Linked DNA regions of Drosophila melanogaster. The protein of the gene in region 1 purifies or fractionates together with the protein of each later gene. This does not show direct contact. Each region holds a gene or a part of one and is shown in the gene's direction. Other genes may lie near its edges. The genes, in order: Haspin and pds5.

What was found.
Region 2: the proteins of Haspin (region 1) and pds5 purify together in Drosophila melanogaster (affinity purification with western blotting, with the first as the bait; one study listed by BioGRID). This does not show direct contact.

Annotation. Positions count from the first base shown.
Region 1 is NT_033778.4:4,008,138-4,019,048, forward strand, and holds the start of Haspin (haspin), read left to right. Parts: upstream 1-5,973; 5' UTR 5,974-6,027; coding exon 6,028-6,113; intron 6,114-6,167; coding exon 6,168-7,077; intron 7,078-10,911. UniProt on the Drosophila melanogaster protein: Serine/threonine-protein kinase that phosphorylates histone H3 at 'Thr-4' (H3T3ph) during mitosis and interphase.
Region 2 is NT_033778.4:12,026,145-12,040,028, forward strand, and holds pds5 (precocious dissociation of sisters 5), read left to right. Parts: upstream 1-1,840; 5' UTR 1,841-2,088; intron 2,089-2,150; exon of another isoform or gene 2,151-2,408; 5' UTR 2,409-2,430; coding exon 2,431-2,511; intron 2,512-2,572; coding exon 2,573-2,958; intron 2,959-3,021; coding exon 3,022-3,229; intron 3,230-3,287; coding exon 3,288-3,456; intron 3,457-3,519; coding exon 3,520-4,261; intron 4,262-4,325; coding exon 4,326-4,589; intron 4,590-4,646; coding exon 4,647-4,740; intron 4,741-4,802; coding exon 4,803-5,648; intron 5,649-5,713; coding exon 5,714-5,850; intron 5,851-5,911; coding exon 5,912-5,991; intron 5,992-6,052; coding exon 6,053-6,318; intron 6,319-6,390; coding exon 6,391-6,681; intron 6,682-6,744; coding exon 6,745-6,837; 3' UTR 6,838-7,581; downstream 7,582-13,884. Other genes in the region: Mppe (metallophosphoesterase), read right to left, coding at 1-455, 579-841, 898-1,013, 1,079-1,104; CG8321 (uncharacterized protein), read left to right, coding at 7,991-8,288, 9,344-9,566, 9,632-9,734; CG43191 (uncharacterized protein), read right to left, coding at 10,085-10,239, 10,295-10,423, 10,533-10,943, 11,009-11,021; 128up (upstream of RpIII128), read left to right, coding at 11,279-11,320, 11,453-11,573, 11,627-12,467, 12,533-12,635; Polr3B (RNA polymerase III subunit B), read left to right, coding at 12,975-13,857.

The DNA of each region.
Region 1 (10,911 bases):
GAGAGCCAAAAGAGCAGTCTACGGAATACAGATCTGGGGTATTTCTGCAAAATCCAACCACAACCGCATTAAGGAAGAGCAGGTCTCCAGGCACACCAGCAGATATAGTGATAGACTTAGACGACACCACAGTATACTTGCTAGACGCTTACTCCCTGCTAGGCCTCTATGGAGATTAAAAAGGAAGGGTTTCACCGAAACACTTGGACAACCCTACAGACCCCTCGAAATATGAGACATAGTTGTAAGTCCTCACATGCTTAGTGCGAGGTTTGGTCTTATTATTTACTTGTTAATTGCGCTGTTATGTTACTATTACTGCATTGTATGGGTTCATCGCTTCTAAATAAACAAAGAAATATAAAAATAGTGACAGATTACCGAGCCATAGCAGTCTTCTTGCAGGACGTCTTATCCCCCACTCGACCTCTAAGACGACTCAAACGGGCAGGCTTCGCCAAGACAATTGGGCAACAGTAAAAACTCTTCACTCATGTTCCTACTTTAACGCCCACAAACCGCACAAAACTGTCATGCCCACTAATTTGAAAAATTATTCTTTTTATCATTTTATTAGTCGCTTATATTATTCCCCAATGTCTATCGATATCACAGTAATATTATGAAATTTCGCGATCGCATTCACGCTAGCTGAGTAACGGGTATCTAATAGTCGGGGAAGTCGACTATAGTAACGAGTATAAAATATCAATTAAATTGTGGTCATGACAGTTTGTGGGGTTTTGTGGGCTGGGCAAAAAGTTTTTGGCAAGTCGTGGAAAAATCGTTATTACATTGTTTTACATATCCTATATGCCCGCCATTTAGACTGCTGTCTCAAGCTTTTCCTAGGAAGGAATTTTCCCCATGCCACACATACCGCAAAATAAATATCGATAGCTATCGCCGTCTCACAACTCTACACACCTACGAACTCTAATAACCAAACGAATTAAAGAAAAAACAGGTAAACAACCCCATTAACTTTACGGACATCGCACATTAGGAATACGTCGGTGTCGCACCTCTACAGTGAACATTCACTCAAACATTCTCGTAACTTTTCTGCTTTTAATATATGTCGGCATTATAAGACAAGGCAATATCTTGCCGGATCATCAATTTGGATTTCGAAAGGGACACGCAACTATTGAACAGGTCCACAGACTGGTCAAACCATATTACGGGCTGTTGACGACTGCGAGTACTCCAACGCTGTCGTTATAGATATGCAACAAGCCTTCGACAAAGTATGGCATGTTGGATTATTTTGCAAGATAAAGACCCTTCTACCTGCGCCCCACTTCTGTACTTTAAAGTCATATCTGGAAGAACGACAATTTAAAATCACGGTGAGAAATAGCTACTCCTCTAAATCCCAATGAGAGCTGGAGTCCCACAGGGCAGTGTTCTCGGACCGCTACTATATTCCTTGTACACTGCTGATATCCCTTGCCCGAGTTTCGAACACATGGAAGCACCGAACAGGGCTCTTATTGCAACCTATGCAGATGACATCGCAGTTGTATATAACTCTAGGGACAGCAGAGAGGTAGCTAACGGACTACAAGAATATATTAATGCTCTGGCAGCCTGGTGTAAACGGTGGAACCTAAAAATAAACCCAATGAAAACAACAAATCCATGCTTCACATTAAAACGCTTATCCCGAACACCCCTCAAATCCGGCTAGAAGGAGTTACCCTGAATCAGCCGCTGCCAGCAACATATCTAGGTATCACACTGAATAAACGGCTCATCTTGGGCCGCATCTCAAAAACACGGTAATGAAATGTGGTAACAGAAAAAAAAAATATATATATGTCGATGAGGCCCCTGGCAAAATGGATCATATAAATAAAAAACAAAAACAAAATTGACCGAAAGCTTCACTAAATCGTTTTATGAGCTTTTAAAGGTGCAGTGTTAAACAGCTGATTAAGAAAAGGCCATTCCCGCCAAATTATTTTCTTACTTTTGCACGTGGTACGAATCTTAATATGCATCCATAAATTATAGTAAAATATGAAAAATAAATGCCAAGGTATGTTGTTTTTAAGGTATGTAACATGTGTAACATCCAATTTATGTGTAGAAAATTCTAACGTGTCCACTGTGTTTCGTGGAATATAACTAATTTTCTGACAATTTCTGACAAAAGTTTAAAACGTCAATTTATACCTTTAACTATTGTTAAACTATTGTCTTTGACGGTAAAGTAATATTTTTGCCGATTCTTGCTCGTTTTCTTAAAATTTGATTTTATATAGACATGTTCGAGTCCAGACATAGCGACCTCCTGTACAGTTGGAGGCGAAACAATCGGCTAATAAGTTATGTTTCAGATTACATTTCTTCCGCAATCAGCAATCAAAATCTGGAATGGAAAAAGACAGAAATGACTGAAAAAGTTGGCAAAAAAATATAAAATTTTGAATTATCATTAAAAGAAAACTGCCCGAGTGTAACAGACAACTAGACCGATTTATTCCAAACATAATAAGTGGATGGCGTCTGAGATAACAATTCTTGTTAGTGATTTTAAAAACTCCAAGACACCACAGAAAATGGTACGCCGAAACTTATCTTACAAAAATGCAGAAGAAAGATTAAAAATGAAGCTGGCATCCAGCATGGCAAGTGAAAGTAATCACGACACAAATCTTTTGATTCATGCAGCAACTGTTTTTGCTAGAAAAGAATGCTCGTTCCTCTTGAACGTTGCCTTTGTTCTTAAAGAAACTTTAAAAACACCAGAATTTCCAAGCGAATCGAGGATGCAAATTCAATGGCAAAAACCAACTCCTCTTTCACCAGATGAAGCTCGAACTTATCTTCTGGAAAACACGCGGACAAAACAGCAATATATAAGCACCAGGCTTTTAAATAAAAGCCATAACAGCGACATATATCCGCCCTATAATGAAGGGATCGAAGCAAAATTACAGTACAACAGAAATTTGAAACTGAAGACCTTGGCACACTAATTTCAGATCAATCTTTATTTGTAACTTCTGTTATACCCATGCAAATTATATATTCGTTTAATGGGCATATCTGGATAAACAGAGCACTGCAGTCCATTCGATTTTTCAGGCCTCTAAAAATTGAGTTGATAAAGGAAACTGCTGTCCAAATAATGATGGAAAAAATTAGTCCTAAACGTATTAACGGACACTAAATCTACTCAATGTTGTCTGATCTGTGAAGTCAGCCCAACACAAATGTTAAAAATTACAAAATTTAGTTCAGAAACCCTTGCACAAAAAGTAAAAGCTTTACAATTCGGGGTAAGTCCATTACGTGCTCGGATCCGGTTTTTGTGTTTTGTTTTTAACGTATCATACCGAGATAAACGTATCATGCCGAGATAAAAAGTGGCATTTAAAAGGAGAGGACAAGGTTAAAATAAGTATTCGAAAAAAATATAACCAGGACGAAATGTACATAGAAATGGGCCTTCGAGTAAGCATGCCGAAGCAGAATGACAGCGGCAAATTCTCGTCGGTTACCAGCTTCAACAAAAATCTTTTGGAAAAGTTTCACATTATTTTAATAGCAATATCATCCAACTTTTTTATAAATTCCGACAATTTCGTTCTCTTTGTGATATAACTTTTCAATTATATATGCAAACATGTCAATGGTATCCTATGTCACCAACGATCCATAAAGTACTGGTCCACGGAATTCAAATCAATATGCAAGGAAAAATAGTCGGTTCAATACGATGAGTGATATTTTCCACAGAGCGATTGATTCCTCGGACCCACTATTATCAACAATTTGTTTTAAAGAAAGAGAGAGAAAAAATGAAAAAAAAAACAGTTCCGAAGGCAGTAATAAGTTTTTTTGGAAATACAGTCTAAGTGCAGGTTCAATTAATTATTTGGCAAATTTGAATACTTTAAACTTACTGTCTTATTTTGATGCCAACTTTGGAGAAGCAATAAGTTTTACGGCACCTGAGCTGTGCAGCATTATCTTTAGTTATCTAAGCTCCCCTCTATCGAGAGCTCTTTCTATTTTACTCTTTCGGATCTACACTTGGCCTTCTGCTAAAGCAAAATCTCGTTCGCTACAGTCAATAAAACATATCGTTCGAAATCACATAATAAACCCTGTCTTTTAATTGCTCAAAAATAGCTAATAAAAAACATTTTAGCTCAACACTAACTAAGAAGTAAACTATTTCGGCTGATAAGCAGTTTACTTAAAGAAAATATAAAATATATAGTAAACATAGCATAAGGAAAATCTCATCTTATAGACGTAATCTTGAAACCCTGTTAAATTAAAATCATAGTACAAATTAATCTTTTGAAATCGTGAGAAATATAAATATATATAATATACATAATATACGTGTGGGAAAATGAAAAAGTCCTTTGTATATCTGTATTGTCATATTTCCAATATTTAACAAAATTTGAAAAAGTTTAATGTATCAATTGACTAGGCTATTATCTAATAATAATTCTTTGGGATGATATGTTCGGATATTACACGAATTATTTTTATTTAGCCCAGTGGAGGGTGAGTTAAGTCTTCCGATGGGCTGCTACTCGTTTCCCTGAAATGTCACTGCGGCTGGTGGAAACTACCTCCAGTGATAAGAGTTTCCCGACAATCAGATACCCGTTACTCAGCTAGTGATAGTGCGAACGGGATATTTCATAATTTTCTGCGATATCGATAAATTTAATGAGGATGGGGAATAAAATGAGAAAGGGCGTACAGCGTTAGAGGGGGCTAGGTAAACATTTTTGTGCAAATTGATCGAAATTTACATGACTAATAAAATTAATAGAAGGTATAAAAAAATTTTTCAAAAATGTGGAGTGGCAGTTTTGGGCTGTTTAGGGCGTTTGAGTGGGCGTGGCATTTTTTTATTTTATTTTTTTTATGCAAGTCGATAGGAATTATATACAAAAATACAAGAATAAAATAAATGTGAAGAAATATCAACACATTTTAAAAAAGTGTGGGCGAGAAAGTTTGGTGCGGTTTTTGTAGGCTTTGCATCATGGGTCAACAAACACGCGCAGCGTCTCTAGAATCTTTATGCTAAATCTCAACCTATTAGATCTTATAGTTCCTGAGATCTCGAGTTCATACGGACAGACGGACATGTCCAGATGGACTCGGCTATTGATCCTGTTCAAGAAGATATATACTTTATATAGTCGAAAATATATAGTCCTTCTGCCTGTGATATACTTCTCAACGAATCTAGTATACCCTTTTACTCTACGAGTAACGGTATATAAGCACTCGAAACTGATATATGAGATTACAAGTGCGCCCTTTACAAAACAGCTGCTAGTTGTGGTTACTAGCCTGAGACTTAAGACTTTGGCCTCATATCAAAAGCGACCTTAGCATTGCAGTATGCATATTACTGTGTACCTTTTTTTCTTGATTTAGCAAGAACTTGGAATAGAAAATGCAGTCTCTATACAAGCTGTGGGCCAAATTTACATGCAAGTTTTTGCATAAATAATTAAAATTAAATTAAATTAAATTAATTAAAAACTATTGAAAACTTTACTTGGAAAACGCTCTGTGAGCGGAGTAACAAATATTTAAGGTTAGCGTCGCTATTTTTTATACATGTCCATTTTTCTGGTACATATCTAGCTCAGGATCGAAGACAGTGAATGTAAAACACGTATCGTAACAGAAAAATGCAATCTAATCAAAAACTGTGGATCAAATTGTAATTAAAATTTTTGCAGAAATAATTAGTAAACTTAAATTAGTTAAGCTTAAGTCGTATAAAAATAGTTAGAACTTTTTTTTTTAAATACAACTACAAATTATAAGCAAATAAATAAACAACGTCACCGTGTTCCATATGCCATCGTCGCTAACTTCATTGACGTTAATGTGCTGCGCAACAGTTGTGCAATTAACCTATATAGTACTTATCGGTAAAAAGCAAGTTTTACATTATCGATTGCGGCTGTTATCGAACCATCAATCGTAATTCTTTAAAAATTGAAAATACATAGAGCATTTAATTTAATGCTCAGCATTAGCAAAACAAAAATGGATTTTTTAGAGGAAGGTAGATGGAAGGATCCGTTTGATGAACTTTTGGACTCCAGAACGTAAGAGCATACACATTTAATGAATTTGAATTGAAATAATAGATTTGCTTCTAGGAAACTAAGTAAAATGAACATAGTAAAACAAAATGTACGAGTAACCTATAACATTGACTCTAGTGTTGAAAATAGCAGCTATATAGAAATAAAAGAACCAAATCACAAAAACGAACCTTTAACTCTTGAAGATTGCTCTATAAAAGTGTATTGCCCCAGTGATTCTATATCAACTCCTTGCGATAAACGATTAGGAGGCACAACAGGATTATTTGAAACCGACCTCTCTCCAATTACTCGCTTAAAACTTGAAGGTGTGGAAGACAGTAGAGACAAATGCGCTGATACTAATGAGGCAGATTTATATGTAAATGTTGAAATTCTTTTTCAAAACATAAATTCCAGCCCTAAAAAATGTTCTAATTTTGGGAAAAAACGATTGAGTAATTTAAATAAGATGGTTACTGCTGTACACCCTTCGATTTCATTAAATCCGGGAAAATGGAGAAAATCGCTAAACAATTTTATCAGATCAAAAATAACCGAAACAAATTTCACGAAAAAGGTAGAACGTCGAAGCTCAATATGCCAGGATCGAAAATCATTAGTTTTGAAAGGCGAACATAAATTTGAGAATAAATATGAAGAAGATGTTCTTAAATATTGCCATCAGTGTACACCACTTCCGTTTAATACTGCATACGAACAACATAAATTATTGAATACTAAGAAGATTGGCGAAGGGGCTTATGGAGAAGTATTTCGTTGTTCGAGAAATCAAGAAGTACTGAAAGACCACATCTCTGATATTGTATTAAAGATTATACCTTTGGAGGGTTCCACTGTAATTAATGGAGAAAAGCAAAAAACATTCAGTCAAATTTTACCAGAAATAATTATAACTAAAAAAATGTGCAGCCTTCGAACAAGTAAAACTAATTCTACGAATGGATTTGTGAGCATACAAAAGGTAAGTTAAGTTAAGCTTAACTTAAAAAAAAGATTTAAGATCATACTCAAAAGCGAGTTCTAAACTAATTAACTGACTAAACGTGTTTTTAAAAGGTTTTCAATATCTCTTCAAATTAATATATTTTTATAGCTTAAGGCATTTTTAAGAAACTGTAGAAAATTGGTGATCGCATTTTATGAAATGTGCATTCGCTTGGATCTGTATCTGTGTAATGGCTAATTTGGCATTGGTTCGATGGTGGCGAAAGTAATGTAATCGTGTGGGTCAATCTGGTATGTCGAAATCGTAGGTCTTGTAAGAGTTGTTTGCTCGCTGTGCAGTTCTTCGTGTTGCTAGCTATTCTAATTTAGTTTTAATAAGTGTTGAAGTAGGAGATGGAAGTGTAGCTTATAAGTTGAGGCGTGAAAAGTGGAGAATTTGTAGCTATACCTGCTACATAGTCGAATTCATTTCGTGGAACGCCGTGGTGGCATTGATATCATCAAATGTATTATACCCTTTTACTCAGCGAGTTACGTGTATAATAATGACTTTACTATAATCTTTTTAAATTAATATGTATAAGGCACTGACGACATCCTTTAAAAGGGGACTGTAAGCAGTATCTTATACATCCTTATAATTAAGTTTATCATTATTTCAACTTAAAAATAAAATAAATTTGCGATTTAAAATTTTTTTTATATCTTTTGTAATTTAAAACATAAATTTTCAAAAAAGAAAATACATTTTAAAAAATATATTTCATAAAAATAATATAAACATACATAGTTAAAAACAATAAAGAATGCTATAGTCAAGTTCCGCGACTATCAGATACCCGTTACTTAGCTAGTATTCACACTAGCGAACGCGAAATTATTCTTTTTCTGTGATATCGATAGATATTGCGGAATAAAAAATTGTTAAAAGTGTGGGCGTGACCGGTTTGGCTGTGTTAGGGCTTTAGAGTGGGGGTGGCAAATTTTTTTTTTTTGCAAATCGATAGAAATTTAGAAAACTAATATAAATAAGAAAGAATATCAAAATATCAACGAGACTTGCGTCTCTAGAATCTGTATGCTAAATCTCAACCTTCTGGCTTTTATTGTTCCTGAGATCTGGACGCTCATTCGGACAGAGGGACATGGCTAGATCGACTCGGCTATTGGTCGTGATCAAGTATATATATACATCCTTTTCAACGTATGTATCTAGTATACCCTTCAACTCCACGAGTATCGGGTATAACAATAAAGAATGCCATAGTCAAAGACACTAGAAGAACAAGATGCGTAACGCCATACGATTTTTTGGCACACGATTTTTTCGCGGTGGCTCTAGAGGTGGCTCCAGGCTCTCTCGAATTTTTGTTAGAGAGCGAGAGAGCGAAGAGCGCTACAGCGAACAGCTCTTTTCTACGCATACAGTGATAGCAGACAACTTTATGTGTGCACACGTATGCTCATGCATTGTAAATTTGACAAAATATGCCCTTCACCTTAGAAGTTCTTAGACTTTAAGTCTGTATTATTTTTGATCAATTGGCACCATGCGAAAAATTCTTGTTTGCATTGCCTTAACGTTATTATTATTTGAAAATAGATTAGAAATAGCCAAATCTATGTACATACCATCACAAAATAAATTTCAAAAATGACTTAATATTAGAATATTTGTCATTAGAGTATTCAGCTTGCGGAGTGTGAAAAAATAATAAGGCAATGATTGTTGAGTGCTTGTGGCCGCACTTCGTGCCTCAAGATATGACCAAAACAAATTATTCTAGTGTCTTTGATGTGATTTTTGCAATAAACAGTTTTCATATTTTTATTTATTTTACAAATTTTTATTTTCTACTTCGTATTATTTTTATGAAATATTTATTTCTCAATGTTATGTCTTCTTTTTGGAAAATTTATATCTTAAATTACAGTAGTTATAATCATTTATATTTTACTTCCTTTAAATATTTAGTATATTTATTAAGTCATTTGACTTAATATGATTTATGTATGTTAATGATCCATTTTTATTATTTTTTTATAATTTTTTATTATTTTTATTATAAAAAATTGTCAGATGAGAGATAAATTAGAACTGAACATAAATATAGGATATAGGATAGATTTGGGATAGAGATTCCGCTGTAATTGCTTGAATCAAATTTTACCATTTTTATGAAGAAGAATCACAAGGAACCCCTTCCATATATGGGGGAACTGTGCAGATTACAGAGATAAGTTAAACGGTTTCAGTAAAGACTTGCTCAAGGCTTCCGCACAGAATCTGAGCACGCAACAAGGGATTCCGTCGGGACCTGGCATATAGACATTCATTCATAGCAGGGGAATGCCGAGAAACGAAAATTTGTTTCTTCAGTGGAACAACTGCGGGGGGTATCTTTGAGTTTGGACCCTTAGCTAGGTCATCACTGGTTCGGCCGCCAAAACCAGAGTGTACCATTTTATCAAAAATCATTTTTGGCTGCTCAGTTTTTATAACCAGCAAATATTTTGAAAGAAGAGAACATCAGTATTCAAAGTTTTTTTTTTTTAATTAAAACTTTTTAGAAAGCTATTAAAAGTACCGCAAAAGAAGAGTCCACACCCTTAGAACCTTAGATTTTGTGTGGGAGAGCTAGAGAGTGGGTGCACAGTGTAGTTTATGTGCAAGTTATCCAACCCTTAAATATAGCACTCCACCCCAGCTTATAAACAAATTGCAAATACCAATCTCAGCGGCATTTGCTTTGTCTTTGTTTTTGTCATTGTCTTTGCCAGCACTAAGCTACCCAATAAGATAAATATCCAAACTTAAAGTAAACACAGCTACCGCTTGGAGACCAAGCCATGATCAACTTATTGCGCTTCAATCAAACTATATCAGTCTAATTTCAACTCCGCAAAATAATTTCAGTATGAAGCTTTTATTCTAAACATAAATGAAAGTTCAAGAAGTTTTTTAAGAAAAGCTTCTGGCCTATTCAAGACATAATTAAAAGTTAAAGAAGTTTTCAAAAGAAAAGCTTCTGGCCGAGGTTTTTTGGATTAGGAGTAAGAATTATAAGATCGGGACCAGATCGATAACCATTATCGTTATTCCAATTACGGATAAAAAAAAAAAAAAAAAAAAAAAACAGTGTCGTGTAATAGTGTCAGTGAAAAGGTTTATCAACAAAAAATATAAAATTATATTAAACTAAAAATTATTTTTCTAAGTAATTAAACAATAAATATTTTAATTTGCATACAAAAACTACTTTCGCAGTGCTGCGAAAGAGAGAGAAAACAAAAAACAAAGACAGAGAAGCAAAAGTTCATTTGTTTAAACTAGTGCATAAATCAAAAGATCCAAATTTATTGGATCTTCTCTTTTTGTGAGACTAACAATAATTATTCAAATCTTATTATATAACTTATATTAATTACAATATGAAGTAATTGTATTAGTTGGAAACGGCCCTAGGATTTCTTTGCTGGGCTGAAGAATCTTTGCGCTTCAGTCGGCTCTGACTGTAGACTCGCGTAAGCGACTTCGCGAGAGGATTTTCGTGTGCGGCGAGCTTTGCTTGATGTTTACTTTTCTTCATCTGAATTTCCTCATTGACAAGATTTATGTGGAGGTCTCTATGGATGCTTTCGCTGCGTAGGTACCATGGTGCCCCAGTGATAGTTCGCAGAATCGTGGACTGAGCTCGCTTTATGATTTCAATGTTGGTTTTTGAAGCGTTTCCCCATAGTTCACAGCCGTATGTCCAGATGGGTTTCAGCACGGTATTGTAGAGGAGTACTTTGTATTCCAGACTAAGGGGAGAGTTGTAATTAATAAGCCAGTGAAGATTGGCTGCTT
Region 2 (13,884 bases), 8.0 Mb from region 1:
GTGGGCACCATTATCTCCAGATAGCTGTGCTCCTGCTCTTTGAGGGCCTTCAAGTCAAAATGCCTCACGGAGTTTTCATAAAAGTTGATCACCTTGGTGGAGGGGTAAATAAATATTCTGGATTCATGCCAGTGTCCTGAGAAAATGATATGTGGATCCAAGTCGCTGATGATGGCTCTCAACAGGGGTCCTCCGCCAATGAGCAGCGGGGCATGGGATACGCCAATTCTTAGACGATCCGCATTGTTATCCCTATCCGGGTTGCTAAAGTCCAATAGCATGCGGTTTATCTTGAAGAAGCGTAATCGATTGTCATAGTCAAAGAGGTCTTCACTCATGAATTCGTTCTCAAAGCGTCTTTGGTTCGAGTTGGATATGTAGTCGCCATTCTCGCCGCCAATATCATTGTCACCCGGCACATGGACGCGCTGAAAAAAGGCAGAGATCATGCGGAACTGTTAGGTTTTAAGGGGTCAATCCCATTCGCAAAGTTGTATAATCGCTTTGGAAAAACTTTAAATTGAAATAATTATAGGTGCAACAACAATTTAAGGTGAAGCAAAAGCAGTACTCCTTACTTTTTTGTAGTTCTTATTCTGATAAATTCGTCTGAACCGCTGAACGTACTGCTTGTACTCTTGAGCCGTGGCAATGTTGCCTTCGTCCAACAGATCGCCCAGGAACACTATGATGTGAGGCTGTGTAAAGGCAAGAGCTCGCTCGAAAGTCTTCGCCAGGTATCTATCCGAATCGTACCTGGCTAAAGGACTGTGCGAAGATCGATCGTAGGAGTTTCCCAGTATCTGGGGATCAGCAATAAGCAGCAGGCGCGTGCAATTATCTATGTGGGAAAAATAGCTTGTTATGATGCGACTCAAAAACTGTGTTACGGCTTACCTAGTTTGCAATCGATTGGCTGCCAACTGGACTGGGCCATGTAGTAAACTATAAACTCGTTGAAGAAGACCAGCAGCAACGTAAGAGCCACAAAACCGCGGCACACTAATCTGTTTCTTTCGGGGATTATGGAAGGATTAAATAGTTTCGGTTAACAAAAGTAACGTCAACTATGACCCACCTATTGACGACGCGCAAGGAAGCCATAATCCCGGCTATGCCGCATCGGTTTGGATTGCTTGATTAATACTTTCGGTTGTCCTCTGGCAAATGCAACTGGCTTACATTGCGTCTCTATATGTACAATCTATATTTAAATACGCACTGCCCATGCAATATTTACGTAAGAATGCTCATATTTTCGGGAATGTAGAGCTGCTGCAACGGACGGCGCACATCTGACCACAACCGGCCCGCATCATCGCTTTCAGGGCGCACACGCTTAATTGGATTAGAAAGCAAAACATCTAGAACGGCCGGAACGTTGTGTTGCGTCCATTACCACATTCCTCCGATGTTTCGCCAATGCGCGCCATTGGCTTTTGAACGCGGGCAATTCCGTTACAGCGTTTGCCGGCTCCAGGTGCCAATAATTGTGCAATTATCTTTATCCTATGTTTGCACTTCTTGCGCCGCGACGGCTATGTGGCAACGCTACAGCTGTTTGCCAAGCACAACAAACAAAATTAGAGGTGAGCGCGTGATTAGCACTAACTGAATGCTCAAAGCAAAACAAACATGATACTCAAATGTTGTTCTTAAGTAAATTTATAAATACAGTTTAATAAGTTATTTATATCCCGATTTCATTCCGATTATATATCCGATTTCGTGACACGACCCCTTCCGCTCTCCTCGCTAGCACCAACAACACGTCAATGCTAATCAGCTGAAATGCAATCATGTACTAATCTGCGAAGAGTCTGGCCACACTTCCAAAAAACCTCTGGCAACGCTTCGTGCGTGGATTAATGGCGTGCCACTCCACATAAATGCTCCTTGGTTTTTGCTTATTTTTAACAACATAAGCACCGCAAAAGACTCTTGTAACCGAACATGTGTAAATAGCTGGACAGGATCAATCCCATCCATAGTGCAGTGATTCGAAGGAGACGCGCGCTAAGCGGTCATCGAAAGCAGGGGTTCGCAAAATTGCAAAAAAATTGTGCCGCTTCCTGCCCGTTGTGAAAAGTAAGATTCCGAGTTCCAAAAACTGCGCCGCAGTTTAATATAAAACATTGGGTAAATTGCAGTGGCAAGGGCGCTACAATTTGGGCGCTCTCTATTTGTTGTTTGCGAAAAAGAAATAACCAAACAATATTGGCCACTCTGTGTGCTTGTGGTGCTGCTGCCCATGTGTGTGTGTGCTTGTGTGGAGCTTCGTGCTTGTGTGTTCGTGATGCCACCCTCCTCCACTTTTTCAATGTTATTTTGAGGGTCGCATTCGTTGTTGTTGCTGTCGCACGGAATTGTTGCACCTGCCACTGAATCCTTGAAATCCTGGCTTGCAGGTAGCTCCCATTGGCGGTGAGGATGGCGGACATAGTGTACCCCACCGGATGCCGGCCGCTGGTCGAGGATTTGGGCACAGACGAGCTGATAAGGCGCCTCAAGGTGAGTCCTGCCCCTGGTTCCCTTAGCAAAACTTCTCACTTAGAATGATTCTGTTTTACAGACCCTCGCCAATGTTCTGCAGACCATGGACCAGGACGACAATCTCTACCAGCAATACATACCATTGGCCCTCCATCTGCTGGACGACTTCTTTATGCAACATCCATCCCGTGATGTCCAGCTCTTAATCGCGTGCTGCGTGGCGGATGTCCTGCGGGTTTATGCGCCAGAGGCTCCCTACAAAGAGCAAGATCAAATCAAAACTATATTTAAGTTTTTTATCAAGCAACTGCACGGTCTGAAGGATCCGCGCGATCCCTCTTTCAAGCGTTACTTCTATCTGCTGGAGAACCTTGCTTTTGTCAAGTCTTTTAATATGTGTTTCGAACTGGAGGACTGCCAAGAAATCTTCCAAGACCTGTTTAGTACCATCTTCAAGATTGTCAAGTAAGTCGAGCTCTTCCTTTATCCTGCGAACTCTTTATAATCACATGTTATATAATTTTCTAGTGACCAGCACAGTGTCAAGGTGACTAACTTTTTTCTAGATGTGCTAAGCCCGTTGATCACAGAAGCCGACAATCTGTCGGTGGAATTGTTGGATCTCATTCTGATTAACATCGTAGAGCCGTACAAATCTAACAACAAGTTTGCCTGCCAATTAACAGAACAACTTCTCACTAAAACGGGCGATGCTCTCGAGTCCACCATCAAAATGGTAATATTTCGTTGATCTTTGGTGCACCACGTTATTCAACCTAATCCCTGATCTACAGTTCTTTAACCGTGCTCTGGTCATGGATAAGCCAAACACAAAACTGTCCATTACAAACAAAATCTATGATATCATTTACGAGCTTAACCGCATCAATGCAGGCTTGTTGTGTTCAGTGCTACCTCAGCTGGAGAACAAACTGCTGTCCACGGACGATGCTGAGAGGCTAAGTGAGTAATTTATCAGCATGTACCTCTATTTGCATATTAATAAACATATTTTCGTTACTACAGAGGCAACCACTCTCTTGTCTCGTATGTTCTCCGAAAAGGACTCGCAACTAGCGAAAAAGTACCCCAACCTGTTGAAAATCTTCTTTGGGCGCTTCTGCGACATCACCGAACCAGTTCGCATCAAGTGTGTTCAGTCATCCATGCACTTCCTGCTCAATCACCCAAGTCTTCAGCACGATATCACCGAGAAATTGCGGCTTCGAAATCACGATCTTGACGAAGTGGTCCGCCACGAGGTGGTAATGGCTATTGTGGAAACTGCCAAGCGCGACTTCACCCTCGTTCTCGAAGCGCCCGATCTACTAGAAATTGTGCGCGAGCGGACGCTAGATAAGAAGTACAAAATTCGCAGGGATGCGATGAATGGTCTGGCCTACATCTACAAGCGCGCAATTTGCGAACCCAACGATCTAAGCACTGGCCTTAAGGTCAGGGTTGACTGGATTAAGAACAAGATACTACATGGATACTACAAAGTGGGCTTGGAGGACCGCCTGCTTGTGGAACGCCTACTTATCACCTGCCTGGTTCCCTATAAACTAGCTCCGGAAGAGCGCATGAAGAAGCTATATCATTTGCTAGGCGATCTCGATGCCAATGCCACCAAGGCTTTCGTCGAGCTGCAGAAGAACCAAATGAAGACACGCAATACGGTCAGTGATTGGATCAAGCTACACCACTCTAAGGAGTTCACGCCGCGCGTACTTAGTCAGCTCAGCGCCAAGCAGGCCAACATTGCCAAGTGGGTTCTATAATAAGTTTTCTTTTGATAGTTTGTAACCAGTGATGTGTTTTTTTTTCTTCAGACTGCTTCCAGATCCCCTAAAAGCGGCAGAGTACCTAACCCAGTTTAGCAACAACCTGCGAAAAGATGCTCAGCTCCTACGATGCATTAACATTGTCCTTAAACGCGACGTAAGCTGTCGGGAGTGTGCTGACACGATGGGAGTTCTCCTGAAAAAGCTTGGCGCCCACGTCCAATCGAATCTGTATTACAACACAGTTAAGATGCTGATTGAGCGCGTGGCATCAGTGATGGTGGACAAGGAGTCTATTGGCGTACTTATTAGGTAAATTGCTTTTAAGTGCCCTTTTGCCAGACTTAATCCGGTAATCTTTTTGCTCAGCCTAATTGAACAATGCATCGAGAAAGGGTCCATGTGTGAAGAGATCGGAATTTCGGCTCAGGAAGCGGGCGAGCGCGGACTCAAGTTGTTGGCCGTGAGTATAGAGATAATTTAAGTTATGATACAGAAATCCATTTGATTGCTTTATACTTGCAGATGCTTTCATACGTCTTTTCGGCTCATTTCTTCACCGATACTTCGCTGCGTCATTTAATTTCCCTGCTCAGTTACGAGCAGGATTATGTTGCACCACTGGTGCTAAAGACACTAACTCATCTGGGGCGCTATCAGCCACTCATTGACGACCCTACACCGGCTATTCTCGACGAGCTGGCTCCGGTGTGCAAGGACTTCGCACTTATTGGAACCCCCAAGCAAGCAAAGCACGCGGTGCGATGTATTTTCGTAAACAGCCAGTCGTCGGCTTCCACTGATGGAGCAACAAGTGGAGCTGGAAGTGCGTCCACAACTACACAAACAGTGCATCCTATTTTCAACGAGATCATCGAGACGCTTCGCCTAAAACTGACACCAAACTGTGAGCATCAGCGCACAAAGATTGTGACCTTGGGTCACATTGCCTACAATATGCCACAGGCCTTCCTAACGCCCATTAAGAATATGATTGCGCGACGAATTGTCAAAGAGCTGCTTATCCAAGAAGTTCCTGCGCAGCGAGACTACGAACTGCCAGAGGACAGTGATTGGTGTGCCCAAGAGAAACTACCGCCGGACACTCTATGTAAGCTGGATGCGCTCAAGGCTATGGCCAGGTGGCTTTTGGGATTGCGTACCGATGAGCACGCTGCCCAGAAAACATTCCGAATGCTGGCGGCGTTTGTTAACCAACGAGGCGATTTGCTCGGCCAGAACCGTCTTTGCGGTGCCGAGAAATCTTGGCTGCGCCTCGGGGCAGCCTGCGCCATGCTCAAAGTGTGCGAACAAAAGGGCGTAGGTGATCAGTACAGCGCTGAGCAGTATTTGCAGCTTTCCCAGCTGATGGTGAGTAGAGACATTCATCTTGTGCTTAGAACTTAGTCTCAATGTCTATCTCGGTGTTCCCGTAGGCTGATCCGGTGCCAGAAGTTCGGGAAATCTTTGCTCGCAAGCTGCACAAAGGATTAAGCAGAAGTTTGCCCAGGAACTGTTTGCCGCTGGACTTCATGGGCTTGTATGTGCTGGCTGGTCTAGAGACTGAGAGGAAGTGAGTAGTTCAAGAAACCATCCGATCCGTTCGGAGAAGTATTGATAAATATTTTCAACAGATTGCAAGACCTTGTGCGTCACTATGCAGAAACGGATGTAAACAAACGGCGGGAATATCTCAAGACTGTGGCTATGACATGTAGGTGTTTTACTTTTGGAATCATATTGTGTATTTTAACCATTAAATCAAATTATTCCAGCTCCCGACAGCTCAACGGAGTCACAATCATTACACATACTACCTGACTACATGCTGGCTTTCGCTATTCCCGTGCTGGTCCACGATCCACGCTTCACGAATCACGAGGACTACGTACAGCTGCGCAAGATGGAGAAGTGCCTGCGTTTCATTCTGGAGCCGCTGATGGCCAAACGAGAAACGTTTGTCCATAGCTTCTACAAGCAGCTGCTGCAGCTGATAAAGCATCGCGAGTTCAGTCTGGGGTCGGACAAGCGCGACAACTATGTATGTCACTCAATCATTTTCCCAGGCTTTCCCTTCTAAATTATATTTATACATATATTTTTCGGTTATCAGAAAATGTGGGCGCTCTGCGATCTTGCCATGTACATTATCGACTCCAAGTTCAGTCCATTTGATGGCAACACGAGCACCTTTTCCATGCCGCTGGCTTTGCCAGAAATGTATTATAAAGAGCCTGCCGTTGCGAATTTCCAAAACAATGACGTCTATATACCGCTGGACGTGTATACGCTGGGAGCCAAATCCACGAGCAAAGCTGCCGCAACAGCAATGACAACGTCGCGAGCAGCAGTGGCTCCAAAGAGACCGGCGGAACAGTCAATCATGGATGATGAAAATCCGCAGGTGAGTGAGGTCCTTGGAAAATACTGAGAATGAATCTAACTAGTGTGTGAAATTTGATTTCAGGAGAACAATCTGTTCGACAACATACGAGCGGCTGACACTACGGAGCCCATGGCCAAACGAACGCGCGCAGGAGCCGCTTCAGCCAAATCATAGGGGCTGGGATGGCGCAGATTGGAGGTGGAGAGAGCGCATACTTGTTAGTTTAGTTATGTTTAGTCTAGGCGCCTAAGTTAACTAAATATTTAAGACGTAGGAAAGACCACGATAGTTGTTAAACCGACACTACCTTTATCCACACCATGCAACTCACAACTAAGCACCCAGAATTCGGATTGTTCAGTTTCGCATTCAGTATGTACTATATCAATTTTGTGAGATACACCAAAAACACAAACATCAAAAAAAGAAAAACGAAAAAAGTGTCGAAAAATCTGTTAACCGCAACTCTGTAAAAGTAATTATTTATCATTTAAAATGTTTTATCCTGTTCTTTTATAGTGTTTGATTTATTGATTGATTTTACCATTATTCTTAGACTATTGTATATCGAATAAAAAAAGGAAAGTATATCGCGCATAAGTTAAAGTACGAAGTAAAGTAATGAAAACGTAAACAGAGCCTTATTAAGTAATTAAAATTAACTTTTCTATGATCGCAGTTAATTTTTAGTTAATGTAACATCATCATAATACATACAATTGTCTCGTTAAATTCAACAAGTATGCATTCAAAATGCATTCAAAAAGAAAACCTAAAAGCGTAAGAATTGGAAAGAAAACTACAAAGATAAAAATAAAATGAATACACACATTAAACTATAAAACATGTACATTAAACAATTATTATGGTTTTTAAATTACAAATAAACGTATGATTATTATTTAAATGTTAAAATGGATATCGAAAATGGGCTTTTAGTTTAAATTATTAAAATGTTGTACTTTTTTAATATAAAGTAAGTTTAAAAAATGGCTAAAATATAATTTTTGTTTCTAACTTTTTTCTTTTCAATTTCAAAGTCGCTCTTAGGAGGGCTAAAACTAATTTGAATATTGATAACAAATGAACTATCGATAAGAGGCCGTCGATAGTTCACGGTGCAACATCAACTCTCCCATCACTAGTTCCAATTGCATTTTCTGCGTTGTTTTTTTTCGGGGGTGTGACGTTTTTCTTGTTGTTTTTGTGCTATTGTGAAATAAACCAAACAATTGTCGAGTTAAATAGACACTGATTGTTGTTTTGCCGCGCAGTTCGAACAACGAAAACTAATTCCAAACAAAGCTTACGCCGGCAAAACCACGAAATGCAGGTGGAACCAGCCGAAGTCGGCTGTGACGTCACGCATCGCCAGCAGGAGAAAAACAAAACCAATGGGATTTTCTCAACGGCAGTCAGAAGTAAAAAAAACGGGCAACCGAACGGACGGATCTACACCTCCACGCCGAAGACCTCGCATCCGAAACTTGAGCACTACGTAGGTGTTGCTAAACCCTCGGAAAAGGGGCGAGTGGGAGTGGTGACCGCCCTCGATCCGCTGATCAAAAAGGTGGCCCTTCTCTTTGGGACTCTTATCATTGGCTACAAAAGCGTCATCTTAACGAGTAAGTGTGCCAAGCTGGGGGCTAAACGTAAATATATTGTGGGTTTATTGGATTTCCATTTGTTTATTTCTGTATATCCCCGGTGTGGCGGGGGTGGGAATTCAAGGTTGCAATTGTCGGTTGCGTCGTCTTTACTCGCACTTTGTTTATATTCTCGCGTTTATAAATAGTTGAAGTTCGTGTGATCTCATAGCGGTGGTGTTTGTTCCCCCTGCATAAGCCGCCGAATAGCGAAAAAACGTCTATATAAGGAAGGCAAATTGTTTGATGCGCATTAGCCGTCTCATTTGCATACAAACGTACTGAAGACCTTAGAAAAATCGTCAAAGAGTGATTAGTTGCTTCATCTTTGAGGCAAAATGCCATTAGTTAGTTAATTGTTTGCCCAGCGGCTATTAGTTATTCATCTACGCTTAGCTTAACGGTATTTAGCACTGGGCTTTCGTCACGCGACACATACATGTATATTCTAATGTATGTAATATAAACATTAGAAGGTACCGCTAGAAGGCCCAGGAAAATAACGAATTTTACATTTCTGACGATATAGCAATCTTTATTTGCTGCAGGTTTTGCATTAGGGTGGCTCCAAAAAAAGTGCGACAAAAAATTTAATAAAGTTTAACAAAGCTCAAAGAAAAAACACATGTTTAATCAACTATTTGTTAAATAATTCAAACATATAAATTTGATATAAGCAGAAAACAAATTTTATACATTGTCGAGAAAAGAAATAATTAAACCAATACAAACGAATATTTATTTCCAATCTTTCCCATCGGTCCAAATCTATAAAAAGCGCAACCTTGCTATTTATGGTGTAACGAATGGGGTTTCTGTACATTTTTGCAAATTTCTTTGCCCACTAATTCTTTCCATTTAGCCAAATTGCTTTGATTCCCTCATAGCGTACATATCTGACTAATAAATTTGAACCACCCTAGTTATAAACCCAACATTTTGACGTGTTTATCACGCTAGGACTGATAACAGTGAAATCAATAGAACGACACTCAAAATGAGATACTAACGAGCTTTGGGCGTTCTCTTTGCAGTGCCATACATCACGGGCGATTCCATCCAGGTGCTGAGCCACCAGGTGCAGAGTAGGTGGAACGAGACCTTGGTGTGGGCCACCAGGCACCAGCTGGGCTCCAGGCTGAGTCCCCTGCTGTGTGGCCTTCTAGTGGCAGCTTTCGCGTACGGAATCGTGTACTTGGACAGCGCGGTGCCCGGCGTAAATCCCCCCTCGCCCTTTACGCCGCGTTCCAAGAAACGGTAAGCTCTGGGGAAATCACCTTTAATTATTCATTATAACATGGAGTCTTTACTTCAATTTGCAGTTTCCGCGAGGAGAAGACTGCCTCGATGCACTTGGGCTACTTGTGCGCCCTGTTCTGCGGATTTCTGGTCACGGTCTTCATGTACTTCGACTTGTACTCGTAGAACTGAATACCCATTTCCTTCCAATTAGTTCAATAAGTTCACCAGTATTAGACTTTATACGCCCACTTCGGAATTTGTATTTGTTGTAGTCCTTGAAACTGTGCAATGCTCCTGGAGAGAATCGTCAGGGGGCATTTTGAAGCTAACTTATTTCCTAGGTATATTAATTATAAGTTACTAACTCTATAAATTATTCATGATTTGTAAACTACAAAAGTACAAAATGAAACATTTCACTGTTGATTGGAGGCCAGGATCGAAAAGCTTAGGCTAGCATATTTATACCTTGTGAAAAGTACACTATCGCCTGGCCTAAAAATCTCAAGAAAACTGTATCCTTAAAAAATAAATTACTTTTGCATAGTGTTTTGCAATAAAATATACGAGGTAACATTTTCAATGCGCAGAAATTGCTGTTGCCAGTCAATGTCGCTTACCTGGTCAATCTTAAATGTTTTCAAGCGATTTTCGCCAATAAACTGGCCCACGAGATGGACAAAGCAGCCTTTTAATGAATAAAACTTTGGTTATGTAATGGTTATCAGTTTCCTGCATTTTACCTGGGCTCCAAGTACTCATAACGCCTTCGAAATCGTAGTAAATTCCCTGAAGGACGGGCCCCGATTCTTTGTTTCGCACGAGCAAGGTGTGTTCTCCACGTTTTCCCACAATGATCCGTAGCAATTTTCCTGAAAAACGATAATTAATGATTTAACTTGCCAAATTTAGCGATATTAATCATTCTGTTTAAAATGTATATAGTAATTTGATTTTGAATGTATTTCAGTTCAGACCCACCGTAAACATTCCAAATAGCATTAATTTCCGGATACATTTTTTGAGTTTTAAGGCAGAAATCCACGCGACCAATTAAACTAATTAAGTTTCGTCCTGGCTTCAACATCGGGGAGCTTGGCAACTCCGCTGATTCCTTTTTGGCTGACATTTCGCAACTGGATTTTTCCAGAATAATCGGTGATGGAACGTTCTCCTTTTTGGGCTGAACTTTCACAGCTTCCTCCACGAATCCATCGTATATTAGCTTATTATCCTTACGACAGACAGTTAGTTTTGTTTGCCGCAATTGGGTGCTATTTTTGCGCAAAAGTTCAGCGGCCGTTGGAAAACTGCGATTCAATTGCGAGACGTTGTTGGTCAGTTGGCTCTTAAATTGAGCTTGGTTGTTACCCAGAGGGGTGCGCGGTTTAACTGAAACAATGTTAATTTTTTGTTAATTTATAAATAGTTCTCAGTATTTAATTGCGGAACTTAACCTTTAGCAAACATTCTTGCAGCCATCAAATTGTAACGGCTATATTCCAATCAGCCTGACCATTTTAATTTTGTCTAAGAATACTTTTACGATTCGTTAAGTGTTGGCTAACGTTGGGAATCGACCACATTACTGAACAAATCGATTGTATCGAATACATATCGATTGCACCTCCAACTGTCCACGCGAGAGTTTTATATATTTTATTTTTACATGCATATTTGTTGATAACTGGGGTTTTCTGTGAACCGCGTTTAACTCTCAGCCAGCCATGAGCACAATATTGGAGAAAATCTCGGCCATCGAGTCGGAGGTGAGTGGAACTTGGAGTACCTGCCGATCTTACAGAAACTAACCTGTCTCGCATCCATTTACCCCGCGGATTCCCCCCTGGATTCTATCTAAATCACCGGGTTGTTGGACCACCTTCTCAACTGAATCCTAGATGGCCCGAACCCAAAAGAACAAGGCCACCTCGGCCCATTTGGGTCTACTGAAGGCGAAGCTGGCTAAGCTGCGACGCGAACTGATTTCCCCCAAAGGAGGCGGCGGCGGAACCGGCGAAGGTAGGCTCTTGGATATATAATTCAGGCAATCACTAAACATTATGTATTTCCAGCTGGCTTCGAGGTGGCCAAGACTGGAGATGCCCGGGTGGGATTCGTAGGGTTTCCTTCTGTGGGTAAATCCACACTGCTCTCCAACTTGGCTGGCGTTTACTCCGAGGTGGCGGCATACGAATTCACAACGTTGACCACTGTGCCGGGATGCATTAAGTACAAGGGCGCTAAGATCCAGCTGCTGGACTTGCCCGGTATCATTGAGGGCGCTAAGGATGGCAAGGGTCGAGGTCGTCAGGTGATTGCTGTCGCTCGCACCTGTAACCTCATTTTCATGGTGCTGGATTGCCTGAAACCGCTTGGCCACAAGAAACTCCTCGAGCATGAATTGGAGGGCTTCGGCATCCGGCTTAACAAGAAACCACCAAATATCTACTACAAGCGGAAGGACAAGGGTGGCATCAATCTGAACAGCATGGTTCCGCAGTCCGAGTTGGACACGGATCTGGTGAAGACCATTCTATCCGAGTACAAGATCCACAATGCGGACATCACCCTGAGATACGACGCCACTAGTGACGACCTCATTGACGTTATCGAGGGCAACCGCATCTACATACCCTGCATATATCTGCTGAACAAGATCGATCAGATCTCCATCGAGGAGCTGGACGTCATCTACAAGATCCCGCATTGCGTGCCCATCTCGGCCCATCACCACTGGAACTTTGACGATCTGCTGGAGCTGATGTGGGAATACCTGCGACTGCAGCGCATCTACACCAAGCCCAAGGGCCAGCTGCCCGATTACAACTCGCCCGTGGTACTCCACAACGAGCGCACCAGCATTGAGGATTTCTGCAACAAGCTGCATCGCTCCATTGCCAAGGAATTTAAATAGTGAGTGCGCTTCACTTTCCCTCTGTTCCCTTGGTTATAATAACATTTATGTATTTCCTTCGTAGTGCGCTGGTTTGGGGCTCATCTGTGAAGCATCAGCCACAGAAGGTGGGCATCGAACACGTTCTCAACGACGAGGATGTGGTCCAGATTGTGAAGAAGGTTTAGACTCTGTGCAACGATAACACTTTGATTACTTGATGGCATTTTTTATTCGAAAATAAAAAACGAATGTGCTTTATGTGTGCGTGGATTTAAGGCGGCTTAAGTTTAAGAAAACCCTCTAATTTTTATTTTATCAAATTTTTTAATTGGCGCGCACAGAGGTAATTTAAATAAATTAAAGCTAGATTTAGCGGGAATTAATTTCACTGCCAGCTCTATGGGAATAACTTTGCTATCACTTGCCCAAGTATATCGATAACCGATAGGTAAAGAAACCGCATATCGAAGAACCTCATAGCACGCTGTTTTGTTGACAAACTTAAATTAAATTATTATAACGAAATGGTGGAGCTAAAGATGGGCGATCACAACGTGGAGGCCACCACCTGGGATCCCGGCGACAGCAAGGACTGGTCGGTGCCCATTAAGCCGCTAACGGAGAAGTGGAAATTGGTGCCGGCATTCTTGCAAGTAAAAGGATTAGTGAAGCAGCACATTGATTCCTTCAATCACTTCATCAACGTGGACATAAAAAAGATTGTGAAGGCTAACGAGCTGGTTACCAGTGGAGCTGATCCTTTGTTTTACCTAAAGTACTTGGATGTGCGGGTGGGCAAGCCGGACATCGACGATGGCTTCAACATCACCAAAGCGACCACACCGCACGAATGCCGTCTGAGGGACACCACGTACTCCGCCCCCATCACCGTGGACATCGAGTACACGAGGGGAACCCAGCGGATCAAGCGGAATAATTTGCTCATCGGAAGGATGCCCCTCATGCTGCGCTGCTCCAATTGCGCCCTTACCGGCAAGTCGGAGTTCGAGCTGTCCAAACTGAATGAGTGTCCACTAGATCCTGGCGGCTACTTTGTGGTGCGAGGTCAGGAGAAGGTTATCCTCATTCAGGAGCAGCTGTCATGGAACAAGATGCTCACCGAGGACTTCAACGGTGTGGTGCAATGCCAGGTTACCTCCTCCACACACGAAAAGAAGTCACGTACTTTGGTGTTGAGCAAGCATGGAAAGTACTACCTCAAGCACAACTCGATGACGGACGACATACCCATTGTGGTGATCTTTAAAGCTCTGGGCGTAGTTTCCGATCAGGAAATTCAATCGCTAATTGGCATTGACAGCAAATCGCAGAATAGATTCGGTGCCTCTCTAATAGACGCCTACAACCTGAAGGTCTTCACACAGCAAAGGGCTTTGGAGTACATGGGTAGGTTTGTTTACCCTAGTTAAATTT